3 linked regions of the Macaca fascicularis genome follow. The protein of the gene in region 3 interacts with the protein of the main gene of each other region in a biochemical or structural test. Links are inferred from orthologs where the notes say so. Each region holds a gene or a part of one and is shown on either strand. Other genes may lie near its edges.

Region 1 (6,834 bases), on a different chromosome or scaffold from region 3:
AGCAATTCTCCTGCCTCATCTTCCCAAGTAGCTGGGATTACAGGCATGTGCCACCACGCCCAGCTGTTTTTGTTTTTTTAGTAGAGATGGAGTTTCTCCATGTTGGTTTGGCTGGTCCTGAACTCCTGACCTCAGGTGATCCACCTCAGCCTCCCAAAGTGCTGTGATTACAGGTGTGAGCCAGCGCACCTGACCCCAGTGATAGTTTCTTTCTTTTTTTTTTTTTTTTTTTTTTTTTTAATTTGAGATGGAGTCTCGCTCTGTCGCCCGGACTGGAGTGCAGTGGCGCTTTCTTGGCTCACTGCAAATTCCGCCTCCCAGGTTCACGCCATTCTCCTGCCTCAGCCTCCCGAGTAGCTGGGACTGCAGGCACCTGCCACCATGCTCGGCTAATTTTTTGTATTTTTAGTAGAGACGGGGTTTCACCATGTTAGCCAGGATGGTCTCAATCTCCTGACCTCGTGATCTGCCTGTCTCGGCCTCCCAAAGTGCTGGGATTACAGGCGTGAGCCACCGTGCCCAGCCAATAGTTTCTTAAAGGTTAGTAGCAATATCAATTTATATATCAGTGGGCTTTTCATACAGTTGTCAAAATCCATCATGTGTCTCTCACATGTGTTACCAAATTCCAATATCAATTTATCCATCACTGAGCTCTCACATTCATTCATGTGTATCATGAAGGAATCTTTTTTTCCTCTATGATTTTGTAACTATGCAATTGGCTATTTGGAAACATTAGCTCACTAAGTTGTACAGACCTACTAAATGTTGATATATTTTACAGTGTCTCCAAAAAAAATCACATTGATTAATATCACTATCACTAGGTCATCAAACACATCTTTAAGTATTGGGAAGCTGTCAAGCTCAGGGTGGCTAATACCAGTTCACCACAATTCATAGTTTTACTTGAAAATTCTAATCTTATTATTGGCAACATTATTTTCCTTGAAGTGATAGGCTCCCTTGTTCATTTTTGAGAAAACATCTGCCAAATACTTGGCTGAGATTGACTATATTTAGTCAGTTGTTCTTTCAGGTAAAAATGGTGATCCACTTACAACTCAAGCAATTGCTCAAGTACTTTTCTTTAATAATACCATTGTACTGGCCGGGCGCAGTGGCTCAAGCCTGTAATCCCAGCACTTTGGGAGGCCGAGACGGGTGGATCACAAGGTCAGGAGATCGAGACCATCCTGGCTAACCCGGTGAAACCCCGTCTCTACTAAAAAATACAAAAACACTAGCCGGGCGAGGTGGCGGGCGCCTGTAATCCCAGCTGCTCGGGAGGCTGAGGCAGGAGAATGGCATAAACCCGGGAGGCGGAGCTTGCAGTGAACTGAGATCCGACCACTGCACTCCAGCCTGGGCGACAGAGCGAGACTCCGTCTCAAAAAAAAAAATACCGTTGTACGTTAGCACACAAAAGTGCTTTATATGTAGTTCCCATTTTATCACACAGCATGTTAAAAATATGTAAACTGAGGGGTTGGGATTTAATAAAAAATGTTACTCCTTCATCAGAAACATTGGTTTTTTTTTTGAGGCAGAGTCTCACTGTTGCCCAAGCTAGAGTGTGGTGGCATGATATTGGCTTACTGCAACCTCCACCAGCCAGGTTCAAGTGATTCTCCTGAGTCACCCTCTCAAGTAGCTGGGATTACAGGTGCACGCTACCATGCCTGGCTAATTTTTGTGCTTTTATTAGAGATGGGGTTTCCCCCAATTGGCCAGACTGGTCTCAAACTCCTGACCTCAAGTGGTCTGCCTGCCTCAGCCTCCCAGAGTGCTGGGATTATAAGTGTGAGCCACTGTGACTGGCCCATCAGAAACCTTCTTAAGTGAAACTGGCTTTTTTTCACTTAATGTCATTGTGCAGTCAGTGTGAAGTTCAAAGACTTGAATTGCAATTGCATGAGGTTACAAAATCGTGGAAGTAAAAGGATTCATTCATGGTACAAAATAAACCAATAGAGTTTGACAACTGTATGAAAAGCTCAGTGATGTATATAGATTGATATTGGAATTTGGTAACAATTTGTTCGATATTGCAAATACAATTTGGCGCCACCACCATTTTTATTCACCATTACGTTTATGGTGCCAGTGCAGATGTCAACACAGCAAAAAAGGGAAATAATATTTTAGTATTATTATGAAAATAGTTTTGATCTCACAGATCTCCTAAAAGGGTCTTGGGACCCTTTGGACAAAGAACTGCTGTCTACAGAAATACATGTATACAAAGATACTCACTAGAGCAATATTTTGGGGTTTTTTTTTTTTTTTTTTTTTTGAGACAGTATCTGACTCTGTCTCCCAGGCTATAGTACAGTGGTGGGATCTTGGCTCACTGCAACCTCCACCTTCTGGGCTCAAGCGATCTTCCCACCTTAACCTCTCAAGTTGCTGAGACTCTAGGCACACATCACCACACCTGCCTAATTTTTTTATTTTTTGTAGAGAAGGGGTTTTTGCCATGTCGCCCAGGCTAGTCTCAAACTCCTGAGCTCAAGCAATCCACCTGCCTCCCAACGTGCTGGGATTATAGGCATGAGCCACAACGGCCAACCTGAAGCAGTGTTTTTAATAGCAAGTTATGAGAAACAGTATAATTGTCTAGCTGATAACCTTTCTTCACTGGATGTTGAGGAGATTTAGCAAGCCTCCCACCCCTCAGGGCATCCATTCATGTGAATTATCTTCTTTCTTGTCTATGTAGAGTGGCACTAGTTTATATCATCTGGGGGAATTTTTAAAAATAGGCATTCAAATAATTTTTTGTTATGTGGTTCAGATGAGGAACCTCAGTTGAAATAAACTGTTAAGGAATGGTAAATTGGGGTACATTTTTCTGCAGCAGTTAAAGAGAATAAGACAAATCTGTCATGAAATGAAAAAATACTCATGACAGTAAGTGAAAAGTTGAGGACAGAATATATAGTATGATCCTATTTTGTCTTAGAAACAAATCCCAAAGCAGAATTATAGCTGGTAATTACATGTGTAAATTTACAGACGGAGGCCCAGAAGTTTCTCATTAAAACTCTTAACTGGCTGCATCTGCTAAGGCAAGTAGGGGATGGGTGAAGATTTCTACTTTTTATTCTGTGTACCTTTGCAGTTGAAATTTTTTTTGCAGTGAAACAACGGAACATTTTTGTATGTATTTAACAAATTGGGATGAGTACTATGTAAGCATATAATAAAGAAAACTCACTTGGGGGAAGTCACGGGAATCTGTGTCTGGATGAGCTCTCATCTTTCAGGGCTTTTCTGCCATAGGAATCTACGGCGGATCCGGAAATGTCAGCGTGGTCGAGAGCAGCAGGAAAAGGAAGGGAAGGAAGGAAACAGTAAGAAGACCATGGAGAATGTGGATAGTCTGGATAAGCTGGAGTGTAGATTCAAGCTGAATTCCTACAAGATGGTGTATGTGATCAAATCAGAGGACTATATGTATCGGAGGACTGCCCTGCTCCGGGCTCATCAGGTGAGAACCAGTAACTAATTTCTGTACACATCTGCCACCCTAGCTAGGAGCAGGGGAGGCCCAGAGTCTTCTGATTGTTTCTCTTTGTTTATGCAAACCTGTTCTTGGAGCTGAGACTTAGCTGAGGAAGTAGGTATGTTGGTTTGCTAAGGATGCTGTGACAGAGTACCACAGAGTGTGGCTTAAACGACAAAAGTTCTGGAGACTAGAAGTCCAAAGTCAGGTGTCAGCAGTGTTGGTTCCTTTTGAGGACTGTGAGGGACAATCTGTTCTAGGCCTCTCTTAGCTTCTGGTTCTTTGCTGGCAATCTTTGGCATTCCTGGGCTTGTAGATCCCTGCCTTTATCTTCATATGGTGTTTCTACCTGTGTGTATGTCTGCCTCCAGATAAGGTCACATTTGGAAGTACTGTGGGCCAGGACTTCAATATTTGATTTTTTGTTTGTTTGAGACAGTCTTGCCTGACACAGCCTCCCAAAGTGCTAGCTTTACAGGCACGAGCCACCACACCCAGCCAACATAAGAATTTTAGGGAGAACACACTTCAGCCCGTAAGAGCATATAAATACCTGGTGGCACCTTTTTAGTGAATTTACTCCCAGTATTTACATCTCAAGTAGTATCTGATCGTTTGCTTGTATGAATTCTACCTGTTTTTACATTCTATCTCAATTGTGAAACCTTCCTGCTGCAGCTGTGTACAGGGTGTTATGCCAGGCCCTGGGACTACAGCCATGAAGTTGATCAGATGAAGTAATGTGATGATATGCACTACCAGGGAAACAAATCAGGTGCAGTGATCAAGGGTAACTAGCATACAGGCCCTGCTTTCACTGGAGGAGGCTTCTCAAAGGAGGTGATGCTTGAGGCCTGAATAATGACAAGGAATTAGCCTGGTGAAGAGTAGAGGATGGGTGTTTTCTAGACAAAACAGCAAGTACAAGGCTGGGAGGAAAGAACATGGCATATTCAAGAAACTACAGACACCGTTGTGGCTCAAGGTTGCATGAAGTTAGAAGGGTAGGCAGAGGCCACATTACTTTGTCTAATAGGCCATGGTTTGGAGTTTGTTTGAGATGCATTGGGACATTTGACAAAGATAGCTTGGAGTGCTATGAGGAGAGTGGAGATGGGTATGTATAAAGTTGGAAGAGCAGAGACCACTCAAGGGTGCCCTTGTCCAAATGAGATTTGGGGACCACCCAGACTACTAGGGTGGCAGTGGAATTGCAAGAATTACATTGTAGATTTTATGTGTTTATTTATTTTTGAGACAGAGTTTCACTCTTGTCGCCCAAGCTGGAGTGCAGTGACCCAATCTCGGCTCACTGCAACCTCTGCCTCCTGGGTTCAAGCGATTCTCCTGTCTCAGCCTACTGAGCAGCTGAGATTACAGGCACGCGCCACCACGCCTGGCTGATTTTTTGTATTTTTAGTAGAGATGGGGTTTCACCATGTTGGCCAGGCTGGTCTCGAACCCCTGACCTCAAGTGACCCACCCACCTCAGCCTCCCAAAGTACTGGGACTACAGGCTACCACGCCTGGATGTAGATATAATTTAGATATTTAATTGACAAGAGATGGTATTGGATCAAATGTGGGGGTAAGCAAAAGGAGGACATCAAGGATGGTGCCTAATTCGTTTTGGGGTTTTTTGGTTTGTTTTGCTTAAGTGGATATTTTAGGGGCTCACCTGTTAATAGAAAAGGGTTATGAGGTTTAGGAGACAGACGAAGTGCGTTTTAAGTTTGAAAGGACTACAAAACTTTCAAGTGGGAGATGTTGAGCACACAGTTTAATGTATGATTATCCCTCGAATGACACGGGGTTTGGGGCACTGGCCCCTGCACAGTCAAATCTATGTATAATTTTTGACTCCCCCGGAATGGAACTACTGATAGTCTACTGTTGACTGGAAGGCTTACTGATAAACAGTTGATAGACATACTTTGTATGTTGTATGTATTATATATACTGCATTCCTTTTTTCTTGTTTTTTTTTTTTTTTTTTTTTTTAATGGAAATAGACACGGGGTCTCCTTACATTGCCCAGGGCTGGTCTTCAGGGGTTCAAACAACCCATCTGTTTCAGCCTCCTAAAGTGCTGGGATTACAGGTGTGAGCCACTATGCCCAGCCTATACTGTATATTCTTAAAATAAAGGAAGTTAGAGAAAAGAAAATGTTAAGTCATATGCAAGAGAAAATATATTTACTCTTCATTAAGTGGATGTGGCTCATCATAAAGGGTCCTCATTCTCATCTTGTTGAGTAGGCTGAAGAGGGAGGAGGAAGGGGAGGGGTTGGTTTTGCTGTCTCGGGGTTGGCAGAGGTGGAAGAAAACTTGCCTATCAGTGGCCCTGTGCCATTCAAAGCCGTGTTATTCAAGAGTCTGCTGTACTTCTCTCACGGCGTGGAGGGAAGCGCAGTGGCATGATCTCAGCTCACTGCATCCTCTGTCTCCCGGGTTCAAGAGATTCTCTTGCCTCAGCCTTTCGAGTAGCTGGGATTACAGGTGTGCACCACCACGCCTGACAAATTTTTTTTGCTATGTGTGTGTGTCTGCCTGTCTCTGATTCACATTATTTGGGACACTGGGCAACAGCAGTTTTGTTTTTGTATCTCTTCTAGTATCCTTGCATGTGGTCACCAATAAATTTTTACTGGGTGTGTTGGTGGGAACAGAACCCCCTGCAGAAGATCTGGCAAGCCTGGACTCTGCTTGCCAGGGTGGGGTAACACAATGGAGGGAGAGTGGGTTTTAAGCCCTTTGCTTTGCACTATCTGGCTTAGAAGTGGATCTCCATGCTGATAGAAGTGATCAGTGGCTCACTGGGTCCTACCCAGGATACATTAGAGCAGATTGGTAAAACCAAGGAAATGTGGGGTTTTGGGGTTTTTGTATGTTTGTTTTTGGAGACAGGGTTTGGCTCTGCCATCCAGGCTGGGGAGCGGTGGTACGATCTCAGCTCGCTGCAACCTCCACCTCCCAGCTCAAGCGGTCCTCCCACTTCAGCCTACCGAGTAGCTGGGACTACAGGATTGTATCACCATGCCCGATTAAGTTTTGTATTTTTGTAGAGATGGGGTTTTGTCATGTTGCCCAGGCTGGTCTCAAACTCCTGAGCTCAAGCGAACTGCCTGCCTCGGCCTCCCAGAGTACTAGGATTACAGGCGTGAGTCACTGCGCCTCGTCGGAAATGTGTCTTTTTAACACATTCCCTAGGTTATACTAATGCATGCTAAAATTGAGAACACTGAGCTTTTTCAGCCCAGAGCCTGTGTTCACATTTCTTTGGAGGCGTTATGGATTTTCATGCCCTCACATGTTCTATGTTC
Region 2 (6,834 bases), on a different chromosome or scaffold from region 3:
TTAACATGGGTAGCAAGGGGTGTTTAAGATATCATTTTCCTGTCAACGCAAATGCCCTTTTAAGAGTCATTAGCTGTCTGGTTTTGAGAATTTTTATTCCTTTGAAGTCCCCCTCTAATCCTTTGAAGGGATTTGTTACACAAGACCAAAGGAGCTGGTTAATGACTTGTCCATTTGTGCTTTTAAGAGACATTTGTTTTGTTTTTTCTTTTCCTGGTTTAAAAGAATTGTGCTTTCCTGCTTGAAATACCGCACACACACACACATACACCCTTCAATTTCGGCTTTCTATGGTGTTTATTTACCTGGGTTTTACCCTCAGTTAGCAGCATAAAAGCTCAGCATGTTCTCATAAAACACAGGAAGTACCACCATCCAATGAGAATATAAACATCACTATTCCGTCTTGAAGGTTAAGACACCAGTTCTGTAATGAGCTAGGTTTGTTGTAGCAAAAACCCCCACTTCCTTCAACAAATTCTCAGGAGAAAAATAACATTTCTTTTTAAAAGTATGTTTATGTCAACAATGGGTTTAAAGGGTGGTTTGATCACTTTTTTAAAAATAAACTTAAAATTACAACTGAGCTTTGAGTTTCAGAGACTGGGCAAGATCATAGTAACACAATAAGGGAGTGAATTGGATGAATTGGTGCCTCATGCCTTTTTGATCAGCAGAATTTAGTCACTAATCCTTTCAATAGAAGGTAAATCTGAAGGTTTCATTTCCCTGAAGGAAGTTTGCGTCTTTCAAAGTTTGTGCTTTTTCACTGAGGTTAGAAAACTGAAACATCCTAACTTCCTAACACAGCAGGTATCTACTGCTGGAGGCTCACCAGCTCCTTCCTTCACTTCACTATTTGCCCAGCGAAGATAGTTTCTGATCAAAGAGGGACAAGCTAGTTGAGAAATTGCAGCAGCACATTCTCCACCCCCTTAGAAATTGTTATGATTATCCCAGAAATCCAGGCTGAAGTGATACTCAGGTGTAATATTCAAGATAAGGGTCTGGGAGAATATAAAATATTAATTTGAGGGTGAATCAACCTCATTCATTGTCTTGGATTGCCCACTAAGTATAATGTGATATTATCAATTAATTATAGAAAGACAGAGCCAATATCTTATACTTTACTTCTCCATCTCATCTCAGGCCATCACCATAACTCTTTTACTTTACGTTCCTCCTGTTGTCCAGTATCCTACTAGATGCTTCATTGTGTACTTCCTCAAAGCCGACTTGGGTCATTACAATCAGCATCTCCAAATTACAGATGGAGACTTGCCTAGCTATATGCAAATGAAACATTTGGACAGAAAGCCAGCCAGAATTCATGAACACAGAGATTCCCTTGCTATGCCACTGGTGGCCCCCACTGCCTCCCCTGTGAGTAACAAGAGCAGTTCATTTGAATTCCAGGCAGTTTTGCACCAGCTAAGGGCAAATTATCCTCTTTCACAGTCCTTTGGCAGCATCTGCATCGGGACATCCAATGTCTGTCGAGGTCCCATGAGTGGTTTTGAAAGCCCAGAGTAAGACCATGGGCTGTGGAAAGAGAAGAGATGCAATTCCGAGTTGATACACATAAAAACGCTAGGGTATTACTTATTAGAAGGGAAAATGGCAGTCCTTATATACAATCTGTAGAAACAAAGGAAAGAAAGCAAGGCTTCAGTGAATGAAACCCTGTCTCTACTAAAAATACAAAAAATTAGCTGGGCCTGGTGGCGGATGCCTGTAATCCCAGCTACTTGGGAGGCTGAGGCAGGAGAATGGCGCGAACCCAGGAGGTGGAGCTTGCAGTGAGCCGAGATCGTGCCACTGCACTCCAGCCTGGGCTACAAATTTGTAGCAAGACTCTGTCTCAAAAAAAAAAAAAAAAAAAAGAAACTATAGTTTTGATTTTTTTGAGCTAGGGTCTCACTGTGTTGTCTAGGCTAGAGTGCAGTGCTCACTGCAGCCTCAACTTCCTGTACTGAGGTGATCCTCCCACCTCAGCCTCCTGGGTAGCTGGGACTACAGGCTCATGCCACCAAGCCTGGGCAATTTTTTATATTTTTTGTAGAGACAGGATTTTGCCATGTTGCCCGGGCTGGCCTCAAACTCCTGGGCTCAAGTGATCCTCCTGCCTTGGCCTCCCAAAGTGCTGGGATTACAAACGTGAGCCACTGTGCCTGGCCATTTTTTTTTTTTCCCAGATAAACTAACTTGAACTTCACATTTTCTTGTTCCAAAGATGATAATCTCATGAAGTGCTATTACACTGTATCTAGAAAGTGTGGGCATGGCTTTAACACTCCTAAATATTCACAAGAAAGGCTTCATTCTTCACATGACAGAATCCTCTGAAGTTGTCAAGAGTGTTATAGACATTGAGCCACCTAGCCTCCTGTCCCCAAGTATAATGACTGCTGGGCTTTGTGGGCTCAGACCAATTAGGACACAAGGTCACCTGGTAAGTTAATACTAGTTAGAAATAGGAGACGTGGATTTATACCTGCAGGGCACCCAGGAGGAAACTCCCTTTGGGAATTTTACAGTTGGAAGAAGGTCTGGTTTTTGAAACATAATAGATTTTTAAGAAATAGATTTGTGTTTAAGGTTCCAGAGAACACTTGCTAATTATTACAAATCAACAAGTATTAAGTGTTTCCTGTGTCCCATTTGGGGGACACTAGAATAATTCCTTCCACTCGTTTATTTTCTTTTAGCAAAATTATTTATTTTTAAAAGTTAAAAAAGTACTCAGATTCCAGTGAAGCAAAGTGAACAAGAGATACTATGCATGGCACATTAATGAAAGAACGCGTGTCACAGCCTATTAACAATTGCTGGATTGAGATGTCAATGACTGTTTAATTGCCTTCCACTCTCTTTGAAATAATCATTGCCCCCACTTCATTTTCTTCCTCAAATCAACTTTATCCGAATCAGCTTTACTGTTATAAAAATGTTCAGGTAAGGAAAGAAAGGCCTATTTGATGTTCTTCATAAGTGTAACAATGGCCTTACAATATGGGATTTTCCTCCAAGTATTCCTTCAGTAGGAAGAATGGAAAATGGAATTTCTGTAAAAGAGTAAAACTAGGAGAATTCCTATTATATCCTGATGGAATTTTTATTTTGGAAAGAGAAAGCAGCCTAAAATAATTTTTGGTCTCATTCTTCTTTCTTCCTCACCTCTGCTTTTGTGCGGGTGGGAAGGGCTGGAGGGAGGATGGCACTTTATTCAACAGGGGATTTGCAGATTCTTAGCTCTCTGGGTCGTCCGCTGCCCTGGTGGTGAGCGACTCTTTTAGTCCAGGGTGCCGCCTCTGAGGTTAGGCAGTGCCCCTGGGTTCAGGGTATAGGAGGAGGAAAATGAGGGAAATCTGTGAAGACAGAGAGGGATAGTCAGCGGGGAGAGAGGGAAAAAGCAGAAGGAGACCAGAGGTACCCAGGTAGTGCTGGGCATGGGCCAGGGGCACAGTGCCACCTGCAGTTGCCTTTGATGCCTCTTGGTGCCTTGTGTTGACTTCTTAGAGATCTAGGGAGTAAGGTCTGGCTCTCTCCCGTCTTAACCCAAGGTTGGTTGGGACTCTGCAATCTGGCCAAGGGATGTGTTGTCCTGTCCCTTCTCCCTTAGGTCACCAAAAGGCAGTCAGGTGAGGTACCCTGTCTGGCCCAAAATGATCTGGGACCCCCGGTGCTGGTCTCACCCTGGTGAGGCTGTCCCTGATGCTTGGCCTTCTCTCCAGGGAACCAGTGGATGAGGTGCTGCAGATCCCCCCGTCCCTGCTGACATGCGGCGGCTGCCAGCAGAATATCGGGGACCGCTACTTCCTGAAGGCCATCGACCAGTACTGGCACGAGGACTGCCTGAGCTGCGACCTCTGTGGCTGCCGGCTGGGCGAGGTGGGGCGGCGCCTCTACTACAAACTGGGCCGGAAGCTCTGCCGGAGAGACTATCTCAGGTACTCTCCGCGGCACTCCACTGGGGCCCTCGGAAGGGAGGCTGGGGGGTCCTTGGACATCTGCAGTCTGTGCATGTTGCCCCCGACCCTGTTCCAGGCTTAGACACCACCTATAGAAAGAGGTCAGGCTGCAGAAACTGAGTCTCAGCTCCCCTGCCGAGAAGCAGAGGGCATTTCTTCCTGTTTGAGAAGCATATTTTCAGGGTTACGTTCCTATGTGGTAAAATACTAATATCTTTAAAGGCAAGAGAATTGTAACCCCAAAATTCAGAGTTGTTCCCTTGGGGAGCGGGAGAAGCCAGGGGATGGGGTTGAGGAGGAGTACGCACGGAGGATCAGAGGAACTGGGAGTGTTTCTAACTTAGGAGGTGGGCTCTGAGGACCTCATTTGAATGCTTCAGAACACACACACACACACACACACACATATATATATATGTTATAAATATTCTTTTGTATGACTCCAGTATTATATGATGAGAAATTTAACAATAGAAAGCATGTGGAGCTCCAAGCATTGACTCATAGCAGGAAGGCAGTCTTTGAAGAACAGAAGGCAAAGGCCCTGCAGGCAGTTGGAGGTTCGAGTCCCAACACCGTTGCTTCCTAGTGGCCTTGGGAAAGTTACTTAACCTTCCTAAGACTCGATTTCCTCATCTGTAAAATGGGGATCATAATAGCACCTACCTCTAAGGATGTGGGGAGGATTTGATGGAATAATGCAGATAAACTACTTGACTCGGTATGGATCAAATAGATGTTAGCTGCTCTTATAACTTATCCTTATGACGTAATCATTATTTTCCAATCTAATGAGCAAAGGGATGGAAGAATGGAAGGGTAAAATAGGAACTCGACCACGCCAAGTAAGACAGGAGCTGAGGACATCTCCCATGCTTCCGTTGGCCATCCGAATTTTCCAGCACTCTGTGAATGCCTTTGCCTAGAATGTACTAGCGTTTCTAGTTTCCGAGGAGCTGCTGTGGAGGTAACTCTCTGTGCCCTCTACTGTCAGATCTGCTCAACTGTGTAGCTGTCAGGATTTCTCCGTCTTCCTGGAGCAGAGGGTCTGTGAGGCATGCTTCCCTGATGCACCCAGACCATCCAACCCATGGAAGCTTGTTGAGACCTCAGCGCCCTTGGCTGCTGGGCCAGCTTTTCCCCTCGAACCTGCCCTCGGAGCATTTGACGTTACAGAAACAAAACCAAACCGAAAAACTGCAGGCAGTTTCACAGTGAAGGAGGCTTTACCTAAAGACTGATGGAAGAAGCTTTTTGTCCTTCTTGAATTCCCAGATAAAGTCCTTGCAGTCCTTGCAGATATGGTGGTTCCGAGAAAATAAGTAGGGTTTTGCAATGATCATGCTTATAATTTTGGTCAGTTTTCCTTTTTTTAAGTCCCAAAAAATAGAACTGGGATAAATACAGACCTGGTTTTGCTCACTCCCACTTTGCCAAGTCAGTGAGAAGGCAGACGGGTAAATGAATCCCATCGGACCCTTGACTCCATCCCTGTCAAATCATTTGAATCTTATTAAATGAAGTGCAGATTGAGTAAGGTCAGAAGAGCCCCGGCTTCTCCCTATCTCTACCGTTTTATATGACATTCAGGAATAAAACCATTGCTGCCTGGGCTTGTTAATCCTTTCCATTTTCAAAAAGGAGAGGAAGGAAAAAAAAAAAAACAGTCTGGGAGAACCCAATGTTAATTAACTTGTGTCTTGGTGACATGAAATAATTCTTCTCCCTGCCACATTCCTAGGCAACATGTTAATTAACTCTGCGTTAGTGCAGGCATTTCCAGCCATCCTTTAACATTTATATTATTGTTATTAAAACGGGCAGCAGAGGGCTTAAGGTGGGACACCTCTTGACAGAGGAGAAAAATTGTCTTTTGCTTCAGGGATGGTCCTTTAGCCAAGATCTTGTTTACTTGCGTTCTTGGTATATCTGGCAGGATCTTTGAACAGGCAAGTTGGAAGAGTGACTGTAATGGGGTTGAATTCTAATTCACCCCTAGGATAACTCGTCCCCATGAGGATTTCCAGTGGCTGAGTTGCCTGTTACAGTTCTTTTCCGACATTTCGCTTCAAATATTCATGAGACCCCCATGCGGAACCTCAACTCTGCTGTGTTGTTGGGAACCTGGGAGCAACTGTTCATGTCTGTGCTGAGCCAGAGCTCCTTGGATCCCTTTTCACTAATTCTAGTGTGCTGGGAGTGGTGGGGTGGTGGTGATGGCAGTGGTTTTGCTTTTAACAGCCAGCACCTGAATCTGTTAGAGCCTGAAGTATGCCTGCCCCCGCTACACCCCCAACGGACCTTAACCAGTGACAGACATGGTAGGAGTACCAAGCCCTGCAGCCTTGCCTGAAGCCAGGCATGACTTATATTCCAGAGTCCCTCCCCTCTGAGGGACTTTGCCTGAGGTTACAACTTGGCTTGGCCTCCTCCCCTTCCCTCCAGCCTCCCCTGCTGCCTTCCAGGTTTTTCCTGAGAATGCATCATTCATAAATCACTGGCACATAAATCCTTGCCTCAGGGGCCACTTCTGGCATATCCAGCCTAGGATACCAATTCTTGGTGCCAGAGGTTAATGTTCAAGTAAGGTGTCAATTCCTGGCTTATTTTTTGCTAATATTAGAATCTCAGAATCCCAGAGCTGGAAAGGGCTACAAGGGCCTTCTCTTTCAGTTCCCTTGCTTTACGGCTTAAGTCACGGAAGCCTGTGCAGGGGACTCCGTTTGCTCAGGTCACCTGGTAAGTTAGAGGTGATGCTGGGACCTGAACTTGTCTCTCACATATTCGTCCTTTGTCCTTCCCTTCATTAGCTGCCTGATGTGGATTGTAATTTACCCCCTGACTTCCCTTTAATAAGCTC
Region 3 (6,934 bases):
CCCCAGCCCCTGGCAGGGGTTTGGGGGATGAGGTTGGGAGTGGCTGCCTGACTGTCAGAATCTGGAGCTTGGCAGAGAACAAATGAGTGGAATTGGGGAGTTAGTGAACGTCACTTCCTTGCCCCACAGACAGAGGCCTGGGCACACCCTCTGCCATAGGGCTGACAAATGCCTTTCCACCTGTCCATATTCCTTCACTACAGGAAAGGACACCTTCCTTGGAGGTGCTGGCTGGGGACATTTAATGCACTGTAAAATAATCCAACAGTCTGCAGGTACCTCAAAGGCATCTAAACTTAAGGAGTTCAAAACCAAATGTATAAGCCCTCCCCTCATCCCTTTGGCCTCCACGTTCCCCATCTCCAGGAATAACCACCACTAGCTCTGCAGGAGAGCCAGAAACCCAGGGGCTTTCCCAGATTCCTTCCTCTCCCTCATCCCCCCCAAACCCAATTCTTTTTTGTTTGTTTGTTTGTTTGAGATGGAGTCTCGCTCTGTCGCCAGGCTGGAGTGCAGTGGCATGATCTCGGCTCACTGCAACCTCTGCCTCCCGGGTTCAAGTGATTCTCCTGCCTCAGCCTCCTGAGTAGCTGAGACTGCAGGCATGCGCCACCACACCCAGCTAATATTTGTATTTTTAGTGGAGACAGGGTTTCACCATGTTGGCTGGGATGGTCTCGATCTCTTGACCTTGTGACCCGCCTGCCTGGGCCTCCCAAAGTGCTGGGATTACAGGCGTGAGCCACCATGCCTGGCCCAAATTCAATTCTTATAAACCCAGTTTTATACCCCAAATACATGTCATCTTCACTTGCCTCTTGTTATCTCTTCTGCCAACACAGTGGTCCAAGCTCTAATCCCCTTCCCCTAACCACTGCACTGGCTCCAGAACTGGCCTCCCAAAGTCTTTCCCCCTCCACACTTCAGCCAAAGAACTTTCTAGAAATGCAAATCTTATTCTATACAGGGTACCACCCCCACCTTCAAACCAAACGAACAAAAAAATGCCAAAAAATCCTGTAACTTGTCCACAAGCATGCTCCAGCCATACTGGACACTTTTCTATTTCTTTTCATGAACCTACCGCCCTTCTGTTCTAGCCCTTGGTCCAGCTGTTTCCTCAGCCCACCTGGAAGGTTCTGGATACTCACCCTTCTTCGCACCCCCAAATTTCACTCTTCGATCGCAGTCCAGGCCTCATTTTCTCAGAGAAGCAGTCCCCACCTGGGCTCTTCTAGATGGGAATGGCTAGCCTGTTTTCACAGTGGCTCAGAGACATGAAATCACTTGTCCAAGGGTCCCACAGCCCCGGAATGGCAGAGTTGTGTTTCAGACTCAGAATTATATGACTCTCATTTTCTATTAAGTGGTGGAGCCAAGCAAAAGCAAAGGCCTTATGGCAGGGAGGAACTAGAGTTTTTCTTAGGACGTGGGATTCTGTGAGAGTTATCTGTATCCCCATGACAGCCTGACCCTTCAGAGAGCACAGGAGGAACAGAGGGGACAGGCGGCACTGATTTAACTGTATCTTCTCAGGGAACATCCTGATGACCAAGAAGAAGTTAGATCCCAGACTGGGGCCATGCTCTCAGCTCAATCTTTGACTGGGACTCAGTTTGTTACCAGAGAAGGGGCTTTTCCCCAGTTCTCAGGCTCCAAAAAAAGCTCAAAAGCAGAGATACTAGAAGGACAAATCAGCCTGGCATGGAGGGTAGAGTTGTGGACTGGGAATTGGACACCAAAGTTTGGGTGCTGGCTTTTCCTTTGGGTTACTGTAAGTTTTGGCTAAGTCACATCTCTCTGTGTCTTAATTTCTTTCTCTATGATGGTAACCAGAACTCCCATGCAAGTGCATATGCTGTTTTCCTGGGCTACGGACTTTCCGTACATTATTACCCTCACCACCACCTTTTAAAGGTCATATAAGTTAGTTCTCACAATTTTGTGACGTCGACATTATCTCCCCATTTTACAAATGAGAAAACTGAGGTTCAGAGATCAGTGGCTAAAATTCGAACATGTGTTCTTTCCACTCCACCATGAAAGAATGAACCCAGAGACCCTCCGTGGGCTGAGCGCATCATCCAGCTGGCACTGAACTCAGATTCCTACCCCACAGTAAAGACCTTGGTCCCCGCAATGAGTTGATCCCAGGTCCCTGTCCCTGGCTAGGTTTTGACTGCCCCTTTTCATCAACTGAGTTGCAGAGAAGACTCCGTGCCAAATTTTCTTCTAAGGCAGACTCCATCAAGCACTAGCTATGTATCATTCGAAAAGTTACTTGACTTTATGTGCCTCAGTTTTCTCTTCTGTAAATTGAGGATCCAACTTCTCTGGATTGTTTATGAAGAGCAGATTAGTTAGTATTTGTAAAATGCCTAGAATAGTGTTTCAGTCGCTAGACTAAACTTTTTTTTTTTTTTTTTGAGACGGAGTCTCGCTCTGTTGCCCAGGCTAGAGTGCAGTGGCGGGATCTCAGCTCACTACAAGCTCCGCCTCCCGGGTTTATGCCATTCTCCTGCCTCAGCCTCCCAAGCAGCTGGGACTACAGGCTCCCGCCACCTCGCCCGGCTAGTTTTTTTTTTTGTATTTTTTAGTAGAGACGGGGTTTCACCGTGTTAGCCAGGATGGTCTCGATCTCTTGACCTCGTGATCCGCCCGTCTCGGCCTCCCAAAGTGCTGGGATTACAGGCTTGAGCCACCGCGCCCGGCCGACTTTTTTTTTTTTTTTTTTTTTTTTAACACCATGTGGGGAGCAGTGTTCCTGGGCTCTGGGCTCAGCCTGAAACCTAGCAGAATGGGCATTTTAATATCCCTGTTGACAGGAGTTCTGCCAGGCCGCCGTAGAGCCCATGAATTTGAGTTACCGGCTCTATTTTAGAAGGGGGTGAAGAGGTAGGGAAGGGCTGGGGAGTTTTCTGGGATAGGGAGGCTGCCCATTGAAATCTGGGTGTCTGGGACACTGGAGGAAGAATAAGAAAGAAGCGCTGGGAGGTGACGATTTTGATATCATGGTGGTCTTCAGAGGTAGGGACAGAGTGTTGGGGTGAGAGTCGCTTAAGAAAGGTGTCTGGAAGGTCAAGGGACTGAGGTTGTGGGGAGCTGGGGTTCCTGAGAGGTCTTGGGATCCGAGATGGGGGCTGGATCTGCTGGGTCCTAGACAGCGCGTCCAAATTAAAATGAATCATTTGGCCCATAATGGCCGAGGCGCTTATCGGGGGCGGGCGGACCCGCGGCACTGCCTTATCTCCGCAGCGCACACGGCCCCGGCGCGCCTCGGCCCATGCTAACGAGGCCTGGAACGTGAGTGGGATTAGAGCGCGTCGGTGGAGGGGCCGGGCGGGCGCGGCGCGGGCGGGGGAGCGGGGGCCGCGGGAGGGGCCGGGCCGCCGCCGCTCAGGACCGGGCCTCAAAATGGCCACACACCTACCCCCGTAGCGGAAAGACGTGAGCATTCTGGCCTTTTTCTAGGGGAAAAGCAACCCGAGGCCTCCCACCGAATTCCTCATCAATTTCCTCCTCTTTTTCCCCACGTCCGCAAAAGAGGTCTTCGCTCCCTTTCCCTCGGTTCCTTTCGATGGGGGGGGGGGGGGCATTTTCCACGGACGCCACCGCCCGGGCTGCCGCCGCCCCTCCCGCCTCGGAGACTCTCTTCCTTCCTTCCCCCTTTTCCTTACGCAATATACAGAAATGCGCGAGGCGGTGGTTGGTTTTCATTTCTTCTTCGTGGTTGTGTGCATGCGGTGGGATTGTGAGAGTGCGTTCATGAGAGCTGTGGGCGGCGTTGGCTGCTTCTGAGTGTGGTCTTCTTGGCGACAGGCTGTGTGTCCCAGTGTGGTGTGCCTGCGCGGTTGGGGTGTGTAGATGTGGACCCTTTGAGGCCCTTCTGCGTTTTCTTCGTTGCGTACGATTGTGCTCCGTTGGCGTTCTCAGCAGGGATCTGGTTCTGCGGGGGGGGGTGTGTGGCCTCTGCGACTGTGTTTGGGTGGTGTCTTCGTTATGTCGGGCGAGTGTGATTCCGACTGTGTTGGATTGTGTGTCCGTGAGCCGATACGTTTAACCGATTTCGTTGTGTCCTGTTGGGCAGTGTGCGGGGCTGACCAAGTCGGCTTCTGGAGCAGTGCTGAGTGGTGCTTGTTTGTTGCCCTTCTGTGGGGCTGGACCCTGTGTGGTCCTGTCCGCACTGACTTGTGTGCCTGTGTGCCTGTGTCCTTTAGAGGTGCGTTTGCAAATCGCTGGGGGCGGGAGTGGGGGGAGGGCGAGCGAGAGATCGAGGCGCTGGTGGGGGCGGCGGCATGGGGGCGGGGAGCGGGATTTCACATTTTATTCCAAATTATGATGTATTCGGGAGCCAGTTGTTGGCTTGGATGGGCGGACAGAGCCGGGCCGGCGGCTGCTCTGCCCAGAGGCCCGCCTGTGCCTCGGTGTTTGAGGGGTTCGTTGGTGAATGGGAGGATCCTCCAGGCTTGAAGCTGAGCAGCGCTCACCGAGGCCGGCGCCTTCGAGCCGGTCGCTGCGGGCTTCGGTTCCCGCTGCACTCCGGCTTCGTCCATTTCTGGTCAGTTTCGTGGGTGCGGCCGCCGGGGTCCGAGGGAGAGGCCCCGAAAGGACAATGGGCATATTAACCAGGCCTCGCGCCTCGGGTGGGGACATTCGGGATCACCTCCAGGGAAGATTTTCCCGCCCCCTCTTCGGGTGAGCGACGTTGCCGCTTGGGTCTGGTACCCGTGGCATCCGAGACCGAGGCCGAATCCGGGCTCTTGAGGGGACCGGGTTAGTGGGGCCCTAGCTCGGGTTGAAAGGATTTTGTTTAGTCAGTTATTATAATTGCCAATGCCATCGCCATCACAATCGTCATCATTAACATCCTATTTTAATTAAAATAATCATCGTAGAGCGCAGCAGTTTGTCCCTTTTGGCTCCTTTGGCGGGAGAACAAAGCAGCGGATTTTTTCCCCGCTACTGCCGTTTTCTAAGTTGCTGGGTTTGAGGTAGGAAGAGAAAATGGAGAGAGGCACGGACACAGAGACTTGGTCATAAGGCAAACATTAACCCCCAGCGAACACGCAAACATTAACCCCCCGATAACACGCCGGGAATGGATGGATTCCCCTCTGCTTTCCTCCCCTCCCCTCTTTTGGATTAGAAGCGGAGAAAGAAAATCTTCCGCATTGTATTGCAATCCAGGGAAGAATTATTCCTATATTTCCACCAAAGCCGCGGCAAACAGAAGGAGTGCTTCGCAGTTAATCCAAGACTTCGATGTGTGATCATAAGCCTGACGATTTAGGCAAAACAAATTAAACAAAATCCACCAGGAAAAAATAAAAGCAAGCTAAATCCTGCTACATCCTTGAAAGTAGTATCGGGTTTGTTTTTGCGTTCCTTTCCTTTCACCTTGTTTATTGCTGTAAGACATCATTAGAATTCTCCCTTACTCTGTCTAAACCCTGAAAAATCGAAAATCGTTTTGTAGGGGTGGTGGAGGGGAAGATGGGGGACTTTTCCCCTTTCTTCTTTCCCTCTTTGTTGGTCTTTATTTCCTTTTCTTTTTCTGTCTCTCTCTTCCTCTCTCTTTCTTTTTTCTTTCTCTCAGTCAGTAGGCGGACGAGAAAGGACCTGAACATATCAGATATCTCTCCCCAAACCCCCTTCCCAACTCCATTTCTGTAGGAAAGTACAACCCCTGGAATTGGGTTCTGGTTTCGCTTTGGGCTGGAGGTGGGTGGATGCGCATCAGGGAGAGAATGAGGTGGGGTGGACTCCAAGGTTCTGTCCCACCGACCAGAGTCTGAGGACTATTCGCCTTTCCCAACACAGACCTCTGCCCATCCAGGCCCGGGACTACCCCTTCCCGGTGTAGCGGCAGTCGGAGATCTGGCTGCGGAGGCAACCGGGTAGACACCTCCCTGCTTAGAAAACAAACACTGAACCAGACCGATCCCAGTTGGAGGGTTCGAAAATGTTCCAGACAGCCTGTCGGGAGGGGTTGCTGTTGTTGTTGTTGGACTAAATAGCTATTCCGGATTGGTCGTGTATAGGGTTTTTTAAGGCGGGTGGGGGGAGGAGGGGGTAGAGGGAAGGCTCCAAACACCTGCAGGTTGGGGGCGGAAAGCTGTTTGCGATTCCCTGGACTGGTTGGTCGGGGACAGGAGGTAATTCCCAGCTATTGACCCCCATTTCTCTCTCTCCCTCCCTCTTGCCCTGCCTCTTTCTCTCCACCCCTATCTTTCCTGGAAACTCGCTTTGGGCGCGGCAGATCGCCCAGGACTACACCGCAGCGTAACTGCAGGCCTCTCAGCGCAAAAGGGGGAAAGCAAAGACCCGGGTCTGCATCCTCTACCTCGGCTTCCGCCCCTCTCCGGCGGAGTGGAGATCCTATTCAGAGGGGCCGGTCTCTCTAAATATGCCCCAGGTGAGTTTTCAGGGGAATGGTGCCGGTGGAAACAGTGTCCAGGAAGGCCTCGGGTTCCGGCCTGGGGTGAGGAAGGCTCAGGACAGAGGAGAGCCCAGTCTCAGATTGGGGGTGGGGGGAGGGGAGGACCAGCCAGAGCTTGGAATCAGGATCTGATTGCTGCTAGCTGCTTCTGTGGCCTCCAGCGGCTCTTTCCCTTTTCCGCCCTGGGTAAAACCAGTTATTTGGACTTAGTCGTCCAGGCCGTTCCCGTTGGTCCCGGTTCTGTGGACGTTTTGCAAGGCCGGTAACTTTGGGGCGGCTGTATCCGGGTGGTGCAGACTCTGCCTGGAGCTCCCGCAGGAAGAAGGCGACAGCCTTCCTGGCTAGTGCAGTCCCAGCTCGAGTGGGCCCTGACCCCGGGCCTGAGGCCTAGGGTGGGGCTGCAGGAACACCCCTCTACTCTGGTAGAGGCGAGGATGGCGGTGCTGTTCCCTGGTGGGTTTGGTACTTGTGCAGGCTTGGGGCTTCTCCAGGGTG

What was found.
Region 1: the proteins of TAL1 (region 3) and SIN3A form a complex in vitro, tested with the Homo sapiens proteins (2 studies listed by BioGRID). The link is inferred for Macaca fascicularis from reciprocal best matches to the Homo sapiens genes TAL1 and SIN3A.
Region 2: the proteins of TAL1 (region 3) and LMO2 form a complex in vitro, tested with the Homo sapiens proteins (2 studies listed by BioGRID). The link is inferred for Macaca fascicularis from reciprocal best matches to the Homo sapiens genes TAL1 and LMO2.

What each region holds. Positions count from the first base shown.
Region 1 is NC_088381.1:52,595,342-52,602,175, reverse strand, and holds part of SIN3A (paired amphipathic helix protein Sin3a), read left to right. Parts: intron 1-3,288; coding exon 3,289-3,496; intron 3,497-6,834. UniProt on the Homo sapiens protein: Acts as a transcriptional repressor. Corepressor for REST. Interacts with MXI1 to repress MYC responsive genes and antagonize MYC oncogenic activities. Also interacts with MXD1-MAX heterodimers to repress transcription by tethering SIN3A to DNA.
Region 2 is NC_088388.1:31,712,113-31,718,946, forward strand, and holds part of LMO2 (rhombotin-2), read left to right. Parts: intron 1-3,737; coding exon 3,738-3,953; intron 3,954-6,834. UniProt on the Homo sapiens protein: Acts with TAL1/SCL to regulate red blood cell development. Also acts with LDB1 to maintain erythroid precursors in an immature state.
Region 3 is NC_088375.1:187,566,167-187,573,100, forward strand, and holds the start of TAL1 (T-cell acute lymphocytic leukemia protein 1), read left to right. Parts: upstream 1-3,388; 5' UTR 3,389-3,447; intron 3,448-3,708; exon of another isoform or gene 3,709-5,369; intron 5,370-6,259; 5' UTR 6,260-6,415; intron 6,416-6,934. UniProt on the Homo sapiens protein: Implicated in the genesis of hemopoietic malignancies. It may play an important role in hemopoietic differentiation. Serves as a positive regulator of erythroid differentiation.